Callithrix jacchus: one gene and its partner. The protein of the gene in region 1 binds, or shares a complex with, the protein of each later gene. Links are inferred from orthologs where the notes say so. Each region holds a gene or a part of one and is shown on either strand. Other genes may lie near its edges.

Evidence for each region. Proteins that work in one complex are often made in the same cells at the same time.
Region 2: the proteins of FBXL5 (region 1) and IREB2 are in contact, whole or in part, in a cryo-EM structure (PDB 6VCD), measured with the Homo sapiens proteins. The link is inferred for Callithrix jacchus from reciprocal best matches to the Homo sapiens genes FBXL5 and IREB2. Residues at the interface, in NP_036293.1 of Homo sapiens: Asp656, Glu657, Tyr661, Cys662, Asp663, Asn664, Ile665, His669, Ala670, Asp671, Thr672, Ala673, Ser674, Gly675, Cys676, Gln677, Asn678, Leu679, Gln680, Cys687, Arg688, Ser689, Gly690, Glu691; in NP_004127.2 of Homo sapiens: Asp89, Phe90, Ser129, Asn217, Val220, Glu221, Arg224, Arg228, Ala758, Gly759, Ser760, Arg763, Asn764, Thr777, Pro778, Arg779, Asn782, Ser783, Tyr784, Gly785, Ala786, Arg788.

What each region holds. Positions count from the first base shown.
Region 1 is NC_133504.1:178,246,603-178,256,742, reverse strand, and holds part of FBXL5 (F-box/LRR-repeat protein 5), read right to left. Parts: intron 9,225-10,140; coding exon 9,038-9,224; intron 7,118-9,037; coding exon 6,935-7,117; intron 2,985-6,934; coding exon 2,859-2,984; intron 233-2,858; coding exon 84-232; intron 1-83.
Region 2 is NC_133509.1:25,801,677-25,811,916, forward strand, and holds the start of IREB2 (iron-responsive element-binding protein 2), read left to right. Parts: upstream 1-3,782; 5' UTR 3,783-3,905; coding exon 3,906-3,924; intron 3,925-5,348; coding exon 5,349-5,438; intron 5,439-7,427; exon of another isoform or gene 7,428-7,736; coding exon of another isoform or gene 7,737-7,743; intron 7,744-10,240. UniProt on the Homo sapiens protein: RNA-binding protein that binds to iron-responsive elements (IRES), which are stem-loop structures found in the 5'-UTR of ferritin, and delta aminolevulinic acid synthase mRNAs, and in the 3'-UTR of transferrin receptor mRNA.

The DNA.
Region 1 (10,140 bases):
TTGTTTCCCCTTAATTAAACTCAGGAATGAGCAAACCATTGCTGTTTTTCTTAATTCCCAAACTAGTGTTAATTTAAACATACCATTTTGCTGGAAACTGCAGAGCTGTATGCTAATACCAAGGTTTTTACAGAAGTACCAACATATGGTAGAATGTTATGAATTAAGCCATGGAGTAAACGTTTTTCCATTTGTGCAATACTGATAGCAATCGATTCCTCTGCAGACTCTTCTGTAAAACGAATTCAAAAGTCTAAGAACTTGATAAACTAATTATAATTAAGCTACTCAAGGACCCACCAAATTGTTAAATATGAAATACTTTGTGCTATCCTTATACTTTCTTATGTAAATGATCCCATTTTTAGGCAATGAAAAACTTTCGGAAAAAAGGTGAAAAATGAAAAGAACAGTAAAAGTTTTGAAGAGAAAGGAAAACATGATATCAAAAGAAAAATGATCCATAGTAAAATGTACTATCAGTTATTCCACGTAACTAAAAAGGACACAAGGTAAAAATGATTTGAAACTCAACTAAATTAGCCTGATCATAATGAATCAAGCAAAGGAAGGTACTTTAGAATTCCTAAGAAGTTAAAAATGAAGGTGACTTTTGCTTTTACTTAGTAACTTCTATAAAGCTTGGATGTTTACAACAAAATGTACTACTGTAACATTCACCATGAAAACACTATAAACTTTAATATGAAAGAAGAAAAAAACACACTAACTACACTAAAAAGTATGAATAATTGTACTGTACTGCCTTTCTCAGGATCCTATTGTTACTATTCTTATGTAAAGACCTAATTTGAATGTTTTTAAACATAAAACAATTTAACAGAATAGATTAAGGAAGTTTCATTTAAAAAAAAACTAAAGTATGGCAGACAAAAGGATATAAACTGAAAGAATTTGTTACTCATGGTTCCTTGTTTACAGATATTATCCTAAATTCCTCCATTAACCAGACATACACACACACACACGCACCCCAAGATAAAATATAAGGAAACAAAAATTACTTTGTGAGCCCTATTCATGATACTAAAATTTTATTCCCAAGACATTCTTTTGTTTCTGTGGCATTCGCTATCTAAATGTATACTATTTATTGTAAAATTTTCAATTTTTTGTAACTTTCTTTTTTATTGACCTATAACAGTTATACATATTTTGGGGGGTACATGTGATACTTTAGTACCTGTATACATTGTATGATGATCAAATCATGGTAATTGAAACTGTGAAATATTTTTTAAGAAATGAAAAATTTCTATGAAAAACAATAACTTATTTGCAGGACAAGTAAAGACAAAACAGCGAAACTGAAAAAAGCACTGAAGTAAATGGCAGTTTAGTCTTTAATAATCAACAGGTACATTATCTGAAAAGGCTTAACTTTTCCTTTTCAATATGAAGGAAATCGACAAACTTTGCTTTGACTGTCTTCAAGGATTAAGACAAATACACTGACATTGTTAGAACCTTCAAAATTCTTATCCTGGGTATCATGAATTAATTTTTTAGAATGAATAAGCGAAGACTTTAAATTGCCATCTAAGCAAGTATCTCATCTCCTTCAGGTCTTTGATCAAATTTCTCAACGGACCTTAACTAGTCAGTCAATTTAAAACTACGATTTTTAAATCTTCTTGGCATGTTTTCCTTGTTTTATTTTTCTCCACAACACATGTCACCATCTAATACGGATTATATTTTACCTGCATTTATTGTCTGCCTCCCCTCTCTAAATTTTAAGCTTAACAAGGGCCAGGTTTTTGTTTTGTTTTGTTTTTTTCCATTTTATTTACCATTATATACTTCATACTTAAAACAATACCTGCCACAGGTAAGCACATCACCAAATCTATCATAACTAGAATAGACCTTTCCCTTATATGGAACCTTTTGAATCTTTATTTCAAAATGCGGCACATCTACGTTTCATAAAAATAAACTGTTAGCTGCTGAAATAACAATCTTTATACTTATACTGCTTACTTTCCATGTTTCTTCTTTTTTCCACATTTAGTTCTTTCACCAGACCAAATTACTTTAAGTGGTAGTTTTATAAATAAAATTTCCTAGAGTTTCAGTTTTACCAACTAGAAGAATATCTCCTCTGTACATTTTTTACTGTTTTACCATCTTTCAGTAATTGTTATCTAGAATAATATCCAAGACAGAATGTCTTCCTCCTCATACTTCCAAATAGTATCTCTCTGAACAAGTATGACAGCATTTTTCCATCATGTACCTTAAATTAAAAATTACATTTTCTAAATTTTCTCCCATCTGGGAGTTTTTTGGAGTACCAATAAAGTCTTATCCACCCTTGAACTCTCCCATAGTGCTTAATGAATGGCTACATTAGTTTCTGTAATCCCTTACCATTTACAAAGAATCTTCATGTATATTACTTCTTAATTCTACAACAACTTTCTTAGGCAAGTATTAAAGACTATTTACAAATGAGTAAGTCGACTCAACAGTTTCATCCAATTTCCCTCAAGACAGATGACTCAACAGATGCTGTGCAACTGATCACTTAAAGTGTCCCTAAAAACATACTGTAAACTATAAAGCACTATAATAAACGTACATTATTTCCGTAAGAAAAAAGGCATCATTTTCTGATTTTTTAATATAAAAACAAAAGAGAAACAATCCTACGCACTCTTTAAAGTACTTCAATTTTAAATTTTCTTATTCCTCCAAATTTTAAAAAGGCTTAGAAACACTACTTTCTTGAGAAAACACAAAATACATAAATCTTAATACCTAACTGTAAATACTTAGTTAACATACCAATTATTAAAATACCATGTAATAATTTTAATTCCAAACAAGCTTACCAGATTCATCTATGTCAGCATCTTCATCCCAGTCATGAAAAGCACGACTTTCATCTTTCCTATTTTTCACCCATTCTTCATCAGGTTCAGTATCAAGTTCAGTTGCAGGACCACTATACCAGTCACCTATTTGATGAATAAACAAGAGGATCAAAATAATATTAGATTGCCTGCAATTACAAAAAAACTAAGCGGTATCTTTGAGGTATGCCTGGATCATCAGGGATAGTTCTTAGACTATGTTCTATCTACTATGTAACATGTATACTTTAAAACTATTTAAGATAGAACGGATTTTATAAGTCATTTCATTATAATGGGTCTTAACATCCGCTTTAATGTCAGTAACAGCACAGCAGAAACATTTATGGATGTGGTACTATGTAAAGTGTTTTGCAAGCCTTTTTTTTATAATTGTCATAATTTTTAGAAGAGTAGAGAAACTGGAGCTTAGAAAAGTTGAATAAATTTCCCCAGGTCACAGAATTGCTCAGGATGGTGCCCCATTTTGATCTAATCCTATAATTTTAAAATCATACTATAAAAATATTTTCACTTTGAAAAATCTTCTTAATCATGTAGGCTTTTTTTTTTTTGATAATTGGGAAATAAAGAAATACATAAATAAGAAATTTTGCCAGTAATTCTACCACCTCAGATTATAATACAATTCCTTCTAATATTTTTTCTAAGCAAAACTTTATTTTGTAAAAAGCAAAATAGTATGACATTGTAGTCTTTCATTTCAATTAATGTTATGACTATTTGCTGTAGTACTATTTTCTCTCATAATTACTATTTTCTCTTGTAAAGGTTCTAATAAACAAGCAGTGTGTTCTTAAAAAAAAAAAAAAAAAAAAAAGTTGGAGGACCACTATACCAGTCACCTATTCGACGAATAAACAAGAGGATCAAAATAATATTAGATTGCCTTCAATTACATAAAAACTACGCTATTTACAATAAAAATCTCTAAAAGAGAAAATATCTGAGTCCTAGGCAATGGGCAAGCTATTTTTAGAAATATTTAATTATGGTTAAAAAAATTACACTGAAATAAGAAAAAGATTTCATTTCAGACAAACTGAAAAGAACTATGACTAGGTGGGTTCAACTAACAATAATAATCAATTAACCAATAGTTCATAATTTCTTAAAGTAAATCTCTTTCAAACTGTGGAAACAGAACAGTAACTACAAAAATTTATATAGTCTACTGCTATGAATCTACTCTCTGTACAAAAAGTTTTTCAATTTTTTTGTCTTTTATAGAAATACACTTAATGTTTATCAAGTCTTGAATAAAATTTTAGAAATCACAATAAGCAAACATTGTCCCTTGCTGTGGTTTCACACTGGTTCCTACAGTAGCCCCATTATGATAACAGCCAATAAATAAAAGGAAGCAGGTCTACTCTGCAGTCTATCAGTCAGCCATTCAGAAGTAGATGGAAACAGAAGCAAAGGGAAAGATTAATGTAAAGCCAATGTAAATTTATAGATCCTGGAGAATGTACTGTAACTAAATTATATGATCATGAAGTGAGAGATTATGAGGAATCAATTCACTAATCTCATTTTTTTGGAGACAGAGTGTCACTCTAGCGCCCAGGCTGAAGTGCAGGGTAGCATTCTGGGCTCACTGCAACCTCTGTCTCCCAAACTCAAGCCTCCCAAGTAGCTGGGATACCAGGTATGCACAGCCACGCTGACTATGTTGCCCATGGTGGTCTCAAACTCCTGAGCTCAGGCAATCTCCTGCCTTGGCCTCCCAAAGTGCTAGGAGATTATAGCTGTGAGCCACTGTGCCCAGCCAATTTACTCAACTCTTAACATTTCATTTAAATTAGGGTTTCTCAACCTTGACGCTATTGACATTTTGGGATGAATAATTATTTGTTGTTGGGAGCTGTCCCGTGGATAATAGGGTGCTTAGCAACAACCCTGGCCTATACCCATTAGATGCCAGTATGATACCCAAAGATGGGACAAACAAAAATGTCTCCAGATGTTTCAAATGTCCCCTGAAGGGGGGAAATCAAATTGAGAACCACTCAAAGCAAATAATATAAATAAATAAAAAACGATTTCTATTTTTTTTTTTAAAGACAGAGTCTCCCTCTGTCACCCAGATTGGAGTGCAGTGATGTGATCATGGCCCACTGCAGCCTCGACTTCCCATGCTCAAATGATCCTCCTACCCGAGCCTCCCAAGTAACTGGGACTACGGGCATGTGCCACCATGCCTGGTAATTTTTTTTTTATTTTTGTTTGTTTTGGTTTTTTTTTTGTGATTCACTGATTGATTTTCAGACTGAGTCTTGCTCTGTCGCCCAGGCTGGAGTGCAATAGCACGTCTCGGCTCACTGCAACCACCAACTCCCAAGTTCAAGCAATTCTCCCTGCCTCAGCCTCCCGAGTAGCTGGGATTACAGGTGCCTATCACCCCACTGGGATAATTCTTATAGTTTTAGTAGACATAAGGTTTCACAATGTTGGCCAGGCTTGTCTTGAACTCCTGACCTAAGGTGATCCACCCACCTTAGCCCCCCAAATTGCTGGGATTACAGGTGTGAGCCACTGCGCCTGACCATTTATTCTTTTAGTAGAGATGAGGTCTCTGTATGTTGCCCAGAGTGATTGGAACTTTTTGTTTAAAAATATTAAAAACAGAAAAAAACAGTATATTTGAGATTTCGGTGAATTTATGAAAGTTAGCACAGCATTATCACAACTGACACTCATATCAAATCTTAAAAATTAAAAAGTCAGAAAATATTGTATGCATCCATGTTTGTCTTGACTTTTCAATAAATATTTCATTATCCTACAACTAATAGAAAAAATTTTTCCACATAACAACTGTAATCATTTAGATGATATAAATCTACCTGATACTCCAAATAGCTTTACTCAAAAAAACTAAATATCTAACAGCTTATTTCTAAAGTGCTATGTGTTATTGTAATGAATAAAATTGCTTTTAAATCACATTCACAATTTAAATCAGACAAAGTCATAAACAGAAAAAAAAAATTATGTGAATTTGGAATCTAATATTCACCTAGGCTGGATGCAGTGGCTCACATCTGCAATCCCAGCACTTTGGGAAGCCAAGATACGTGGATCACTTGAGGTCAGGAGTTCAAGACCATCCTGATCAACATGGTGAAAACCCACCTCTACTAAAGATACAAATTAGCCAGGCGTGGTGGCGCATACTTGTAATACCAGCTACTTGGAAGGCTGAGACAGGAGAATCACTTGAACCCAGGAGGCAGAGGTTGCAATGAACCAAGATCATGCCATTGCACTCCAGACGGGACAACATGAGCAAAACTCCATCTCAAAAAAATAAAACAAAATGAACAAAAAAAAACCCCCAAAAGCTCACGTGGAAGAAATTGTTTTAATTCAGTGACAGAAAAAATGTATGCTCTATTAGCTGTATTTAACCCATAACTGCATTACATGTTGAGGAAAATAATATTTTCTTTAATTCTTCACAAGTAAAAGTAATTTACTATAATGCTATTAATATGAAACTGTGATTCAGGGAATGTGGCATTACCAATCAAAGATAGGTCAAAGACAAAAACGGATTCACAATTATTTTAAGCCATCACCAAAATGGAGCCATAATGGTATATCACCCTTACATTTTAAAAAATTTATTCCATATTTAAAAAATACTCATGTTATTAAATATATTTAAAGGAGTTTTGAAAGCTTAATTTTATTTTTAACTTCTAATTCTGTAAGATAGTCAAAAGCAGAAAGAACTAGCATAATGAATCCCCTATCTTCAATAATTACCAACATTTTGTCAATCTTTTTGCATCCTTCCCCAACTATATTTTCTTATTATTTTTTTAATTGCAGACATCATTATAATTTACCCATGAACTTCAGCACTGCTAGTTTTCCAAAAATATATACCAAAAATACATCCTCTAACTGTAAAATCTACTTTTTGGTCAACCTCTCAAAGCTTCCCTCCCTGGCCTTGTTCATTAACGTCAATGAATATGTATCTAGAAAACACATGAAAATATTTTTTAAACCCATTTACCTACCTCTGGCCCAATGAACAGGGTAAAGATGTTTCCAAAGCGACCCAGTTTTTGCCAGCTGAGACCATTTCGTGCTTACTTGACTGCATCGACATAACTCTTGAGGATTAAGATAACTGAAAATTGACAGCATTACCTCAGGAGGAAGATGGGTTATACCTGTGGAGTGTTCTGACACTTCTGCTTCTGAAATAAAAAAGAAAAGCTTTAGCAGTAAAGGCTAAGAGCAAATGCAATAAGAAATTACAATCACATTTCTATAAACAAAATCCAGTGCCTGAAGTCAATTCCTTCCTGCTTGCAAGATGCGAAAACGAAATAACATGTAACAGAGGTAACATGGGGATGTTAAACTTGTTAAGAACCAGTAGGGTTAAACTATCATGGCCCAAATCACACTTCATCAGTGGAAGTTACAATAATGAACACAGAATTAACTTCCTCTTACAAAGGCATCACAGAAAAAAACAACACTCACTTTATAGCATTAAGTAGCATCATTTGAAAAAGGAACCAAACAGGTTACACAGCTTTAAATCAACAAGTATAGAGTACGCCAGATTATGAGATCTCCAAGGCATTTTTAATGACACATACAAATGTCACTACCTTTTCCATTCATGCATGATGACTCCTGTCAATAATTTTCCTCGTATTCCCTCTTTGATTTTCACATTTCATACCAGAGGTCTGCAAAATCTGACTGCCTTAACATATAGGCACTTTAAACCACTTCAATTATTTATGTCGCAGGTGAGATGACAAAATGTAAATATTTCTGATGCTGTTTCACACTAATAAGAAATATACTCTCAGCAACTATTGCAGGAAGTACTTATTGGATGTATAAACCTATAATGTATTATTTTAATAACAATTTCCAAAATAAAAATGAAAATGAGGTGTTACAATAAAAAAAAAAAGATTTGTCGTTAAAGTCCTATGAAGAATTTGAGTACTTTATATACCTGATTTGTCTTCACAAAGCAACTTAAATATAGAAATGCTATGATCACATTCATTAAACTACTAGTTTTAAAATGGCAAATATTTTAAACATAATACAGCTACAATTTGCTTTGAAGGAGTGGGAAAATAAAATGTGGTAAGTGTGATACTTTTAAATCTCATGTTATAATTACAATTAAACCAGACATAACAAGTCTTAACTTGGTATCTAAAGCACAAGCTACGTTTCAGAGTAAAGCATACAAGCTTTATGGGATTAATTATAGCTTAAAACTTGTAAAATAACTTTGGTTTCAACATACACTTCACCTACTTTTATTTTTATTTTTGGAGGGGGCCAGGATCATGCACTGGCGGCTGAGGGATCCCCCGACCCTCTACCTACTTTGTTAAATAAAAATAAAAGGATCACTTTCAAAAAACTCCAAGTTATTTTAACAGAAATGCCATTGCTACCAACAATCTTGAAGAAGCAAAGCTACTGAACATAAATAATAAAAAATGAGAAAGTAGTTTATTTTTTTTTAAAAGGGCAGCATGTTTTATTCGCATTTCTCATTTGTATTCTCAGAGTAACTATACAGAAAAACTTTGCCTCTGGTACTTATTCCTCTGACTATTAATACATACAAGCTGAAAAAAAATGATACATTTTTTGCCAGCTGATGGAAAGGATGAAAATAAACTATAAACATAACTGACTGAAAACCAATGAAAAACACAAGGAAAGATAAAAATCAGCCACTATGGTCAACAGAGCTCAGGAAGTGGGATGATACTGCAAAAGTGTTCTGTGTAACAGTAGTTTTCAACAATTCTGACTGATCAATTTTTAGCAGGCCAGTGCTCTGTATTGGTAGTTTTCAATAATTTTGACTATGCATTTATAAATTCATTGAAGAAACACTACACAGCATATGTCCCAAATATATGTTAAATTATCATACACAACACTAAATTCTAAAATAAGAACTATCGTCTTCAATTAAATTCATACATGAAAATAACGGCTTTAACTGATCACAGTGCAGGTCTAACTTAAATTGTTTCTCAACCAAAATCTACAGTTCATATCAGTAAGATGTCAATGGCCTTATAACTAATAAATTGTTCTTTATCTATGTATAGAAATCTCACCTTTATCTGACTTTTCATCCACAGAATATTTAAAAAATTTTTGTCGCTCTTCAGCATGATTCCATAGGCTAAGACCTCTAAGGAGTTCTGCAGTATCCTTCTGAGAGCAGTGTTGTGCAATCACTTTCTTTTTAATATCCTTAAGCTCTTCGTAGGTAAAATATTCCATTAACATGGGCTGAAAAACCTAAATTAAACAAAATATTCACAAGGAATGATACTTAATTCGTGTTATTTCACTCTACAGCTTTTTAAGTTATTAATGGCTTGCATGTCTTATTATGACCATATATCTGAAGCAGATAAAAATTTTATCTGTTACCACTGAGTTAGTTTATCTAAAAATTGCAGAGAAGAGTACCTCAAGAAGATCCTTCTTGTTATGTTTCTCTAGCTAGCAAATCAATCCCAAAACAATTTTAAAGCATGAGGACCAGAAGGTTTGCCGATACAGAATTTGTCAAACACTCTTAATCATTCTCTGTAAATGTTTAGGTCAGTTAACTGCCTTCTGGTACTAGAGTAACTGAACTCTACAGAAATAGTCCCTCTGCCTCACATGAGAGTGGTACCCAGTCAGTATACTGCAACCATAAAAGTCAGAACTCTGCTGAGACATGTAACTTTTCAATATTATTTCTGGATTTTGGAACTGTTCCCTCAAATCATTATTTTAGAAAAGTGGTTCCTACAATAATTATCTATGAAGATTTCTTTTGCTAAACAGATGCTTAGTTCCAAACTTCAATTTACAGAATTAGAATCTTTAGAGGTTAGAACCAAAACTTTGTTTTGTTTTCACTTCCACAGATAATTTTGATGAGTATCATAGGTTAAGAAACACTGGTTGCTCTAGTAATTCAGGTTTCAACACTGGCTGTATATTACAGTGAGTTGGAGGGCCCTGAAAAAATACCCAGGTCAATGCCTGTTCTCTGATTTAACTCTGATATAATATACCAGAAAGTGCTTAAAATACTGTTGGGGTTTCTTTTGTTTGTTTAAATACCAATTTGATTTTAAGGTAAAGCTATAGTTGAGAATCACTACAGTAATTGATTTACAGCTGAACAGGTATTCAGTTCCTCATAAAATCATTTATC
Region 2 (10,240 bases), on another chromosome or scaffold:
AATCTACAATTGTCACAAAATAAAAAGGTTTAACAATAGATACATTTTATGATATTTGAATTAAACCTCAATGAAACTGTTAAAGCTGACTGAGATGGTGCATGCCTATAGTCCCAGCTACTCGGGAGGCTGAGGTGGGAGAATCCTTTCAGCTCAGGAGTTTGAGATCAGCCTAGGCAGAGTAACCAGACCTCTGTGTTAAAATAAATAAAACTGTTAAAAAAAAAAAAAAAGTAATGAATCCAGCCAGAAGGGAACATATCATGATTTTTCCAAGTTAGTTCTTCTCAGTGGAAGCAGGACACTGAGAAAATGGGTGTTTTTGGTTGTCACTATCATGGGGCACTTTTGGCATTTAATGCATGCATTCCACAGTACAGAATTACACAACAAAGAATGAAACAAGACCCATACTGTCAGATATTCAAGTACGTTAAACATGCACAGAAACATAAAAACAATAACAACTCTGTTTAAAATTATCTGAGCCTAGAGTTTAACCCCATTTACAAGTAAAAACAAAAGTAATTTGTGTATGGTTTTAATATATACGGATTATTACTTTTTTTTTTTTGAGATGGAGTCTCACTCTGCCACCCAGGCTAGAGTACAGTGGTGCAATCTCAGCCCACTGCAACCTCTGCCTCCCAGATTCAAGCGATTCTCCTGCCTCAGCCTCCTGAGTAGCTGGAACTACAGGCACACCCCACCACACCTGGCTATTTTTTTTTTTTTTTTAAGATGGGGTTTCACCATGACGGCCAGGCTGGTCTTGAACACCTGATCTCAGGTGATCCACTCACCTCGGCCTCCCAAAGTGCTAGGATTACAGGCATGAGCCACTGTGCATAGCCTAATTTTTTTTTTTTCTTTTTAGTAGAGATGTGGTTTCACCATGTTGCCCAGGATGGTCTCAGTCTTCTGACCTCCTGATACACCTGCCTCAGCCTCCTAAAGTGCTGGGATTACAGGTGTGAGCCACCACACCCAGCCTATATAGAGAATTTTCTAGGAATAAAACTACTGTGTAAAAAAAGCAAAGGTTTTATTTCATTTTGTTTTGAACTTTACCAAGAGTTATTTACCACTTCAGGAAATCTCAATAGTAACAACACTTCCAATATTTGAGTCACTAATATATTTTTATTAGTCTTTAGAGGAGGCCATTCATGATATATATGTACATTTTATACATATGTGCATTTGCCATATATGCATTCTTAATACATATTTATGCATGATATGTATGTATATATTGAATCCTTATTTTGCAATGTCAGACATAAATAAAAAGCGTTGGGCGGGTGTGGCGGCTTATGCCTGTAATCCCAGCAGTTTGGGAGGCTGAGGTGGGTGGATCACCTGATGTCAGGACCAGCCTGGGCAACATGGTGAAACCCCATCTCTACTAAAAATACAAAATTAGTCAGGTGTGGTGGCACATGCCTGTAATCCCAGCTACACGGGAGGCTGAGGCAGAAGAATTGCTTGAACCTGGGAGGCAGGGGTTGCAGTGAGTTGAGATTGTACCACTGTACTCCATCCAGCCTGGGCAACAAAAGCAAAACTCTGCCTAAAAAAAAAAAAGTGTTGACCATATTCAGCTGAATATTATCTTTTTTTGAGACAGGGTCTCATTCTGTCACCCAGGTTGGAGGGCAGTGGCACAATCATAGCTCACTGTAATCTTGAATTTCTGAGCTCAAGTGATCCTCCTGCCTCTGTCTCACAGTAGCTGGTACTACAAGCATGCACCACTACGCCTGGCTAACTCTTCTAAATTTTTGTAGGGACAGGGTCTCACTATGTTGCTCAGGTTGGTGTTAAACTCCTAGCATCAAGCAATCCTGCTGCTTTGGCCTCCCAAAGCGCTGGGATTACAAACCTGAGCTATACCAACTGTGCCTGGCCCAGTCGAATATTATATGTCCTGTAAAATCAAACTCATTCATTATATATAGATATAAGCATCTGATGACTCAATTTTGTCATCTAATATAGACATGCCTGTGCACCTACATATTGTAATACATATTATTTTCTAATAAATTACTGTCCTATTTTTCTCCTTTATATTACAGTTAGGTCCTTAAGTAGATTATTTTATTGTTGTGCATGTAGATTACCTGTGAATTTCATGCTGAGATTGCAAAGGAGATGTTACAAAATATAGCAAGGTGAATAAAGGAAATACACTGGAATTTGGGTTGACAGGGCTTGGGTCAATGATTAAAAGGAGAGGGAAAGGAGTTGGGTACAATGTGTTGATTTCTGGCTTAGGCGACCAGGTAGATGCCACCATTCGCTGATACAGGCAATACAAAAGGAACAGTGGGTTTAAGGAGGAAAACGATGAGTTAGGTTTTGGTGATTTTTAGTTTGAAGTGGCTGTGGGATGTGGAGGCATCCAATGGACTAGGATATACACACCTCTGGGTTCAGGAGACAGTCTCAGGTTACAGGCAGACTGGGAAGCAACAACATATTAACTAATAACAAGTTAAAGGAAAGGTGAGATGGGTCAGGGAAAATTGAGAGAGGGAGGAGGTACAAGGCCAGAACTCTGGGGCACATTTAATGTTCAATACATTACTTTTTGAGACCGCGTCCCGCTGTGTTGCCGAGGTTGAAGTGCAGTGGTGCCGTCATGGCTCGCCACAGCCTAAGCATCCTGGGCTCAAGTGATCCTCCCATCTTAGCCTCCTGAGTCGCTGAGACTACAGGTGCATGCCACCATGCCCAGCTAATTTTTAAATTTTTTTTGTAGAGATGGGGGACTCACTATGTTGCCCTGTTGGGTCTCGAACTTTTCAGCTCAAGCTATCCTCCCACTTTGGCCTCCTAAAGTGCTGGAATTACAGACATGAGCTACTGTGCCCGTCCAGTGCCCAGTACATTTACAAGCTGGGCAGAGGAAGAGGCCTGCAGAGGAGCCTGAGATCAAGCACCCTTATGAGAAAAAAAAAAGTAGAGTCTGAGGTCACAGAAGCTGATAGAAGAGTATTTTTCAACAAGGGGAAAGAACCAGTCAAGACTGAGGTACGTGAGATCAGCAAGTGGAGTCATGGCTTATCTTGGCTAAAGGCATTTCTGGGAGTGGAAACCAGACTGGAAGAAGATAAGAAGTGGAACGGAGAGGGCGAGTATGAGCAACTTCTTCTGTTAAGTTGCTGCCCACAGGAGATAATGCTGGGCAGATGGAGCACACAGGGGCCGGAGGAGCTGAGGCGGAGGGATGGAGAGGCTTAAGTATGTTAACTGCGGCAGAGATGGAAGCTACAGGAGTAAATGAAAAAAATTAATTCATTCAACACTTTGTTGAGTGCCTCCCACGCACCGGATCAGTGTGGCCGCCCCAACTGAGAACAGGCGTGTGGGCCGCTCACGTCTGACAATTTAACGTAAGGCTTTACCGTTACGGGAAAGGGGTTCTCCTTCAGCTTTTCCTCCTAGGAGTTCCCATTCCGACCCTGATTCCAAAAGACACCTTGCGGGACCGCGCACACAGCTGGAACTCACGACCCCAATACAAACCTTCAGGCCACAACTAAGTAACGGATCGCTGCAAAGGCCAAACTAGAGATTCCAATGCCACCGCTGGAGCCTCCCCAGCGCTCCGCCCCCGCTCGCGAGAAAAGCGGCGAGGGCGCGAGAAATCGCCCTCTGGTTAGCTCCGCCCCTTCTCTTTCTTTGTTTTCCTGCCGAAGATCTCGCGGGAGTTAGCCGACAAATCCCGCAAGCGCAGGCCCGGGCTGGCTCTGCGGCTCTCGCGATATTTGAGCGAGACTGCTTCCTTCCTTCTTCCCTTGCCAGTCCGCCTGTCTTCCTCCCCCTCTTCCCTGCCCGGCCTCCCCTCTCCTTCCCCCGCCGGCCCCCTCCCCGCAGGGATAATATGGTCTCCGGCGATGGACGCCCCAAAAGCAGGTCAGTTTCGGGCCTCCGAGCTGGGTCTGGCAGCTGGAAACGCGCGGTGCCTAAGCGCCGTGTTCCTTGCTTTTCTTGCCTGGAGTTGCTCGGCAGGCGCCCAGGCCCTCGGGGCTCAGGTTATGCTCCCCTTGGGGCCTGCCTGCTGGGCCGCCCTTTGAGCCCAGGCCGCAGAAGGTGGGACTCCCCGCCCTCACCCTCCCGCGCGACCCCCGCAGGCCGGGCCGCCGCACCGCTGGTCTTGACCCGCACCCTTCTCTCTCCGGTGGCCGCTGCCTGCTGCCAGCGCCTTCCTGGCCCCCGTCAGCAACACCAGGGGCAGGGAGAGGCCCACCATCTTCCTCTGCCCGCCCCCCATTGGTGAGCGATGAGGGCGGGGGCCTGCGTCTCCGTGCTCGGGTCTCACGCAGCTGGATGTTGGTTCCACAGCCCAGCCTCAGGCCCCTCGGTCTCTCTGTGTCTCTGGAAGCCGAATGAGGGGCAGTTAAGGTTGAAGATTGGTCAGTCAGTTCCCCGACCATTTGTTGCAGTGCTGTAGACACCTCCCGCCGTCCACCTCCTTCTAGAAAAAAAGAAAAAAATACTGTTCATTCTAACAATGCGTTGTACTTATGTTTTCTGTTTTTGGATGAAAGCCTTAACAATGTTGAGGGTCCTACCCACCCACCGCTATGAGTCTGCACAAAAGATCTGAAGGTTCTTTTCAACGTCAAGGCTGCCTCCCCGCCACTGCCCCCTAGAATGTTGGGAGCTGAGGCACATTCAAATGAGACCCCTGCATCTTTGACTTTGTAGTTCAGCTTCAATTCGTGCAAAACCAGAAGGACTTCTATCTTTCGGGGAGAATATGCTAATTTCCTAGATATTTTGTTACTTTAATTTTCTGTACTAAATCCTTGTAAGGACTTAACTGAGAAGTTTTTTGTTTTTGTTTATTGAATGCTTCGTAAAAAATCCATCTTTTGGTTTTTTTAATTAGTCCCTCTAATGCTAATTTTGGAGTTCCCAAATTCCTGTCTCTGCAGTTTTCAAGACATATCTTTTCCAAAACGTCCCCGTAGATTATTTAAATCATTTTTAGTGTCTCCTTCCAGGTATTGTGTGTTAAAACATTTCTGGAGTGAATTATCTTACTAGTTTTTATTCGACACATTATGGTTTAGAGATATGCTGTCCAGTGTGGTGGATACTAGCCCTGTGTTACTGTAATAAAAATTAAATAAATGGAAAACTCAGTTCCTCAGGCACCATAGCCACCTTTCCAGGTGCTCAATAGCCACACGTCGCTAATGGCTACTTTACTGGACAGGTCAAACATAGAACATTTGTACCATTGCAGAAAATTCTATTAGACAAAGCTAGTTTCCAAGTATTTTCATTCCAGGTATTGTTGCTGTGTTTAATTAAAATGTTTTTTTTTTCAGGATATGCCTTTGAGTACCTTATTGAAACATTAAATGACAGTTCACATAAGAAGTTCTTCAATGTATCTAAACTTGGAGGCACCAAGTATGGTAATGTTGCTTTACATTTTCTTGAATTTGTTTAGTCTCTAATAATTAAAATGCATTTGTCAAACTGAGCTGAAGAAATTTTAAATTTATTTCTACCGTGTTGTAACCGGTACACCTCCACATACTTACACCATTTTAAGAACTCCTCTTGGGAAAACTTTTGTTCAGGGAAGATGTACCTTAACTTCTTATTTTAAAATCGAGTTAATTAAGCACTAATTTTTTTTCCTCAAAGAAACCAGTAATGCAGTTTTTAAATTTTTTTTTTCTTATTTTTGTGGAGACTGGGGTCTTGCTATGTTACCCAGGCTAGTTTCCAACCCCTGGGCTCATATTATCCTCCTGCCTCTGCCTCCCTTAGTGTTGGGATTATACATGTAAGCTACCGTACCTGGCCTAATGTGATTTTTAGAAGAACCTGACTGACTGATGATATGCTACACCAATTAAATGTATATTTTGCTTTCTCTTTTCTTTCTTTCTTTCTTTTCTTTTCTTTCTTTTTTTTTTTTAAAGACAAAGTCTTGCTCTGTTGCCCACGCTGGAGTGCAGTGTCATGATCATAGCTCATGCAGCCTTGAACTCCTGGGCTAAAGCAATCCTTGTCTCAGCCTCCCAAGTAACTAGGCCTACAGGTGCATGCCAACACACTTGGCTAATTTTTATATTTTTTGTAAAGATGGGTTCTTGCTGTGTTGCCCAGGTCTCAAAACTCCTGACCTCAAGCGATCCTTCTGCTTCAACCTCTCAAAGTGTTGGGATTATAGGCATGAGCCACTGTGCCTGGCTTATTTTACTTTCTCAAATGAACAGTGCCCACATCTGTTCTTTTTGCCATCTGTTGAATAGGAATCACCAACAGGACCCACTGACTGAGTTGTTCTGCAGTGTTGGGCATTGTTTGCTCCAACCTGCACACCTACAGTTTTGGCAGACACTCTCATTCATCTGATCAGGGTCAAACCTTTCCCTGTGGTCTCAGAAGAGAATGTGGCTGACCTACAGGGCATTGGATGGAAGTTTTGACTTTACTGACAGTTGAGTAACTTTCTCAATTAGGCCAATAGTTTAGAAGACTGATTATTGTTAGTGAACTTTTCTGTGACAATGACATGAAAAGATAAATTGAATGCCATATCTATTATAGTCAGTTTTGGAAGGAGCTTTAACCTTGTTTATTCTTGCATTATTTACTTAAGATTGTTCTTGTGATTTTTCTGTAGATTTTGAGGAATTTAAATACTCTTGACTGCTGTGTGTGATATTTTTTGTGTATTGTGAAATACAGATTTTTTGGAGTATCTTAGAGAATCCCCATTTTGGAATTAGGTTGTCATTAAGAAATAATTTGCCAAAATGAGAGCAATATCCTTTACCTTCCATGTTTAGCTGCAGTGATTTGTAGTGATATGTTTGTTAAAAGAGGTTGGTCATTTTCTTAATGATGTGTGTCTTTCACATTAATTTTATCCCTTCACTGATGATGAGTTTGCATTAATTTTGAAAACAGCTAGATTGATTGTTTACAAGAATAGTCTTTTTATTTCCCTTTTACTTCTCCAAAATAATCTAGTGATCCTGGCTTGTAAGTTTTTCAACTCAAATTCCATAACTTAATAAATTAAAGGAGCACATACTGTGTTTTGAAGATTGAGTGTAAATACTTTGTGTATAATCTGTAGAAATGTGCTTACTTGAAGATGATATATATTTTTCAAATTTAGGGAATCAAAAACAACCGTAAAATGCTTTGAAAGGGAATGATTGATATAATATGGAAGTTAAATTTTCGCTGAGAAATAAGCTGTCATGGGCATTTGTGCATAACCTTACAGAGTACGTCTGTACTTAACATTATTCCAGAATTACCAGTTTTTATAACCATGATAAATGTAATAGAATACCTGTGAATATAAATAATTTCAAAACAGAAAGTTGGTTTTTATTTATGTGTGGTCAGTACCCTGGTTTTATTTTATTGTATTCTAGTTTTACTTTTGAGACAGGATCTAGCTCTATCACCCAGGCTGGAGTACAGTGGTGTGATCTCGGCTTACTACAACCTCCGCCTCCTCTGTTCAAGCGATTCTCCTGCCTCAGCCTCCCGAGTAGCTGGGACTACAGGTGTGCATCACCCGCCCAGCTAATTGTAGAGAAGAGGTTCTACCACGTTGGCCAGGCTGGTCTCAAACTCCTGACCTCAAGTGATCCCACCCACCTCAGCCTCCCAAAGTGCTGGGATTATAGGAGTGAGCCACTGCGCCTGGACCCTCTTGGTTTTTTAATAGAGTGATTATTATGAGAGGTAATTAAGTAATCATTCCTTAAGTAATTTCCTAGTAATTAAGAAGGAATAAAATTTGAAGAATTGACTTTGAAAGAAAGAAACAACTTAGGTAGAAAGTATTTTGCTTGTTTAGCCTTAGAACAAAAAATACGCATTTTTGAAGGGATCAGATTGAATTGCTTCCTAGAGATATGCTTACAAGAAGACATTGCTTTGGTAGTCAACAAGGTTCAGAGCCAGTCTTCTCTGCCTTCATTTCGAATTTTGTTACCTGCCACATTGAGAGTGACTGCTCTAACAAGTAACAATTAGTGAAGAAAATGGCCTCTATCCCTCATAAATTTTGCAGAGTAAAGATAATTAAGAAGCATTGTTCTAAGCTCCATGCTAACTGTATCAGGGATCCCTCAGCTGCAAGGAGCTGAAAACCTGCTGTCCAATGACTTTAAGAAATAGGAGTTTCTTTTTCTTTCTTTTTTTTGAGATGGAGTTTCGCTCTTGTTACCCAGACTGGAGTGCAATGGTGCGATCTCGGCTCAACTCAACCTCTGCCTCCTGAGTTCAGGCAATTCTTCTGCCTCAGCCTCCTGAGTAGCTGGGATTACAGGCACGCGCCACCATGCCCAGCTAATTTTTTGTATTTTTAGTAGAGACGGGTTTCACCATGTTGACCAGGATGGTCTCGTTCTCTTGACCTCGTGATCCACCCGCCTCAGCCTCCCAAAGTGCTGGGATTACAGGCTTGAGCCACCGTGCCTGGCAGGAGTTTATTTTTCTTACATAACAAGATCAACAGACTGGGGCTGTGCAGCACCAGTTTCAGCAAGGATTAAGGCTTGTCCTGTCTTACCATTTTGTTTTTATTCTTTTGGTTGCATCTCCAGGCATTATGTCCATGTTCCAAGCAGCTGGAGGGGCAAAACAAAAGGAAAGGCCCTCTCCAGGGGCTTTTGCCTCTTTGGCCAGAGTATCAGTGGCCACTCTTACCTTCAGGAAGGCTGAAAGGTAGAGTAATCATGATCTTCTCTTATCCACGGGAGATACATTCCAAGACCCCCAGTAGACACCTGAAACTATGGATAGTACCAAACTGTGTATATACTCGTTGGTGTATATGTATTTTCCTATACATACATACCTATGATCAAACTTAATTTATAAATTAGGCACAGTAGAGATTAACAGTAGCTAATAATAAAATAGAACAGTTATAATAGCATACTGTAATAAAGGTTATGTGAATGTGGTCTTTTTCTCTCTCTAAATACCTTACGGTGCTGTACTGCAGGTAACTGAAACCACAGAAAGCCAAACCATAGATGAGATGAGAGTACTGTGTTTTATCTCTACAGCTGTAACAACAGAGAAAGGAAAGGGAGAAGTGGTTGGAAGTGGGTGGTGAGTGAACCGGCCTAGACTGTCTGCCTTACCAACCTGATGTCCTCTCTCTTTTTTTATTTTTATTTTTATTTTTTTCGAGACGGAGTTTCGCTCTTGTTACCCAGGCTGGAGTGCAATGGCGTGATCTCGGCTCACCGCAACCTCTGTCCTCTGGGTTCAGGCAATTCTCCTGCCTCAGCCGCCTGAGTAGCTGGGATAACACAGATTATTTGATTTCTGCTTTTTTACTGCCATTTTATCCTTTTGCTTCCCAAATTTAGACTGAAGGTATCTCTGTGGGGGTGGGCACATCTTAGACATTGATTACGTTTTGATCTTGCATGATTCTGCTTGAGGGAATCTCTTGTCTTTTTGTTTGTTTTTGAGACAGAATCTCACTGTGTCACCTAAGCTGGAGTACAGTGGCATGATCTTGGCTCACTGCCACCTCTGTCTCCAGGGTTCAAACAATTCTCATGCCTCAGCCTCCCAAGTAGCTGGGACTTACAGGTGTGCACCACCATGTCCAGCTAATTTTTTATCTTTAGTAGAGGTGGAGTTTCACTATATTGACCAGGCTGGTCTCAAACTCCTAACCTCAAGTAGTCCTCCTGTCTTGGCCCCCCAAAGTGCTGGGATTACAGGTATGAACTACTGTACCCAGCCAGTTGTGGGGAATGTCTTTAATATTCTGGAGCTGCCTGTCTGGTGCTCTAGTTTGTTGAGTAGAAACATCATGTAGTCAAAATCTAGGTAGTCTCAAATGTAGATATTGAGTAACTCCTTAAAAAAAATTATAAAGATGGGGGCCTCACTGTCACCCTGGTTGGAATGCTGTGACATGATGATAGCTCACTGCAGCCTCAAACTCCTGAGGTCAGGAGATCCTCCTGCCTTACCCTCCCAAGTAGCTGATTTGGGTGACTCTTAAGTAGATCTCTGAATTCAAAACTATGGCTGTTTTTACAGAGAGGAGAAATCAGTGTTGTCAAGAGTAGTGAGAGGCTGCTTTTTGAAGGAGTTGAGACTTGAATTGCTATTAAACAGAGGATATGTGTGATGGAGGACAGTCAACACCAGAGAATCAGAATGAACAGCATAATGGAAACATGAATGACTATGTTGAATGAAGGGG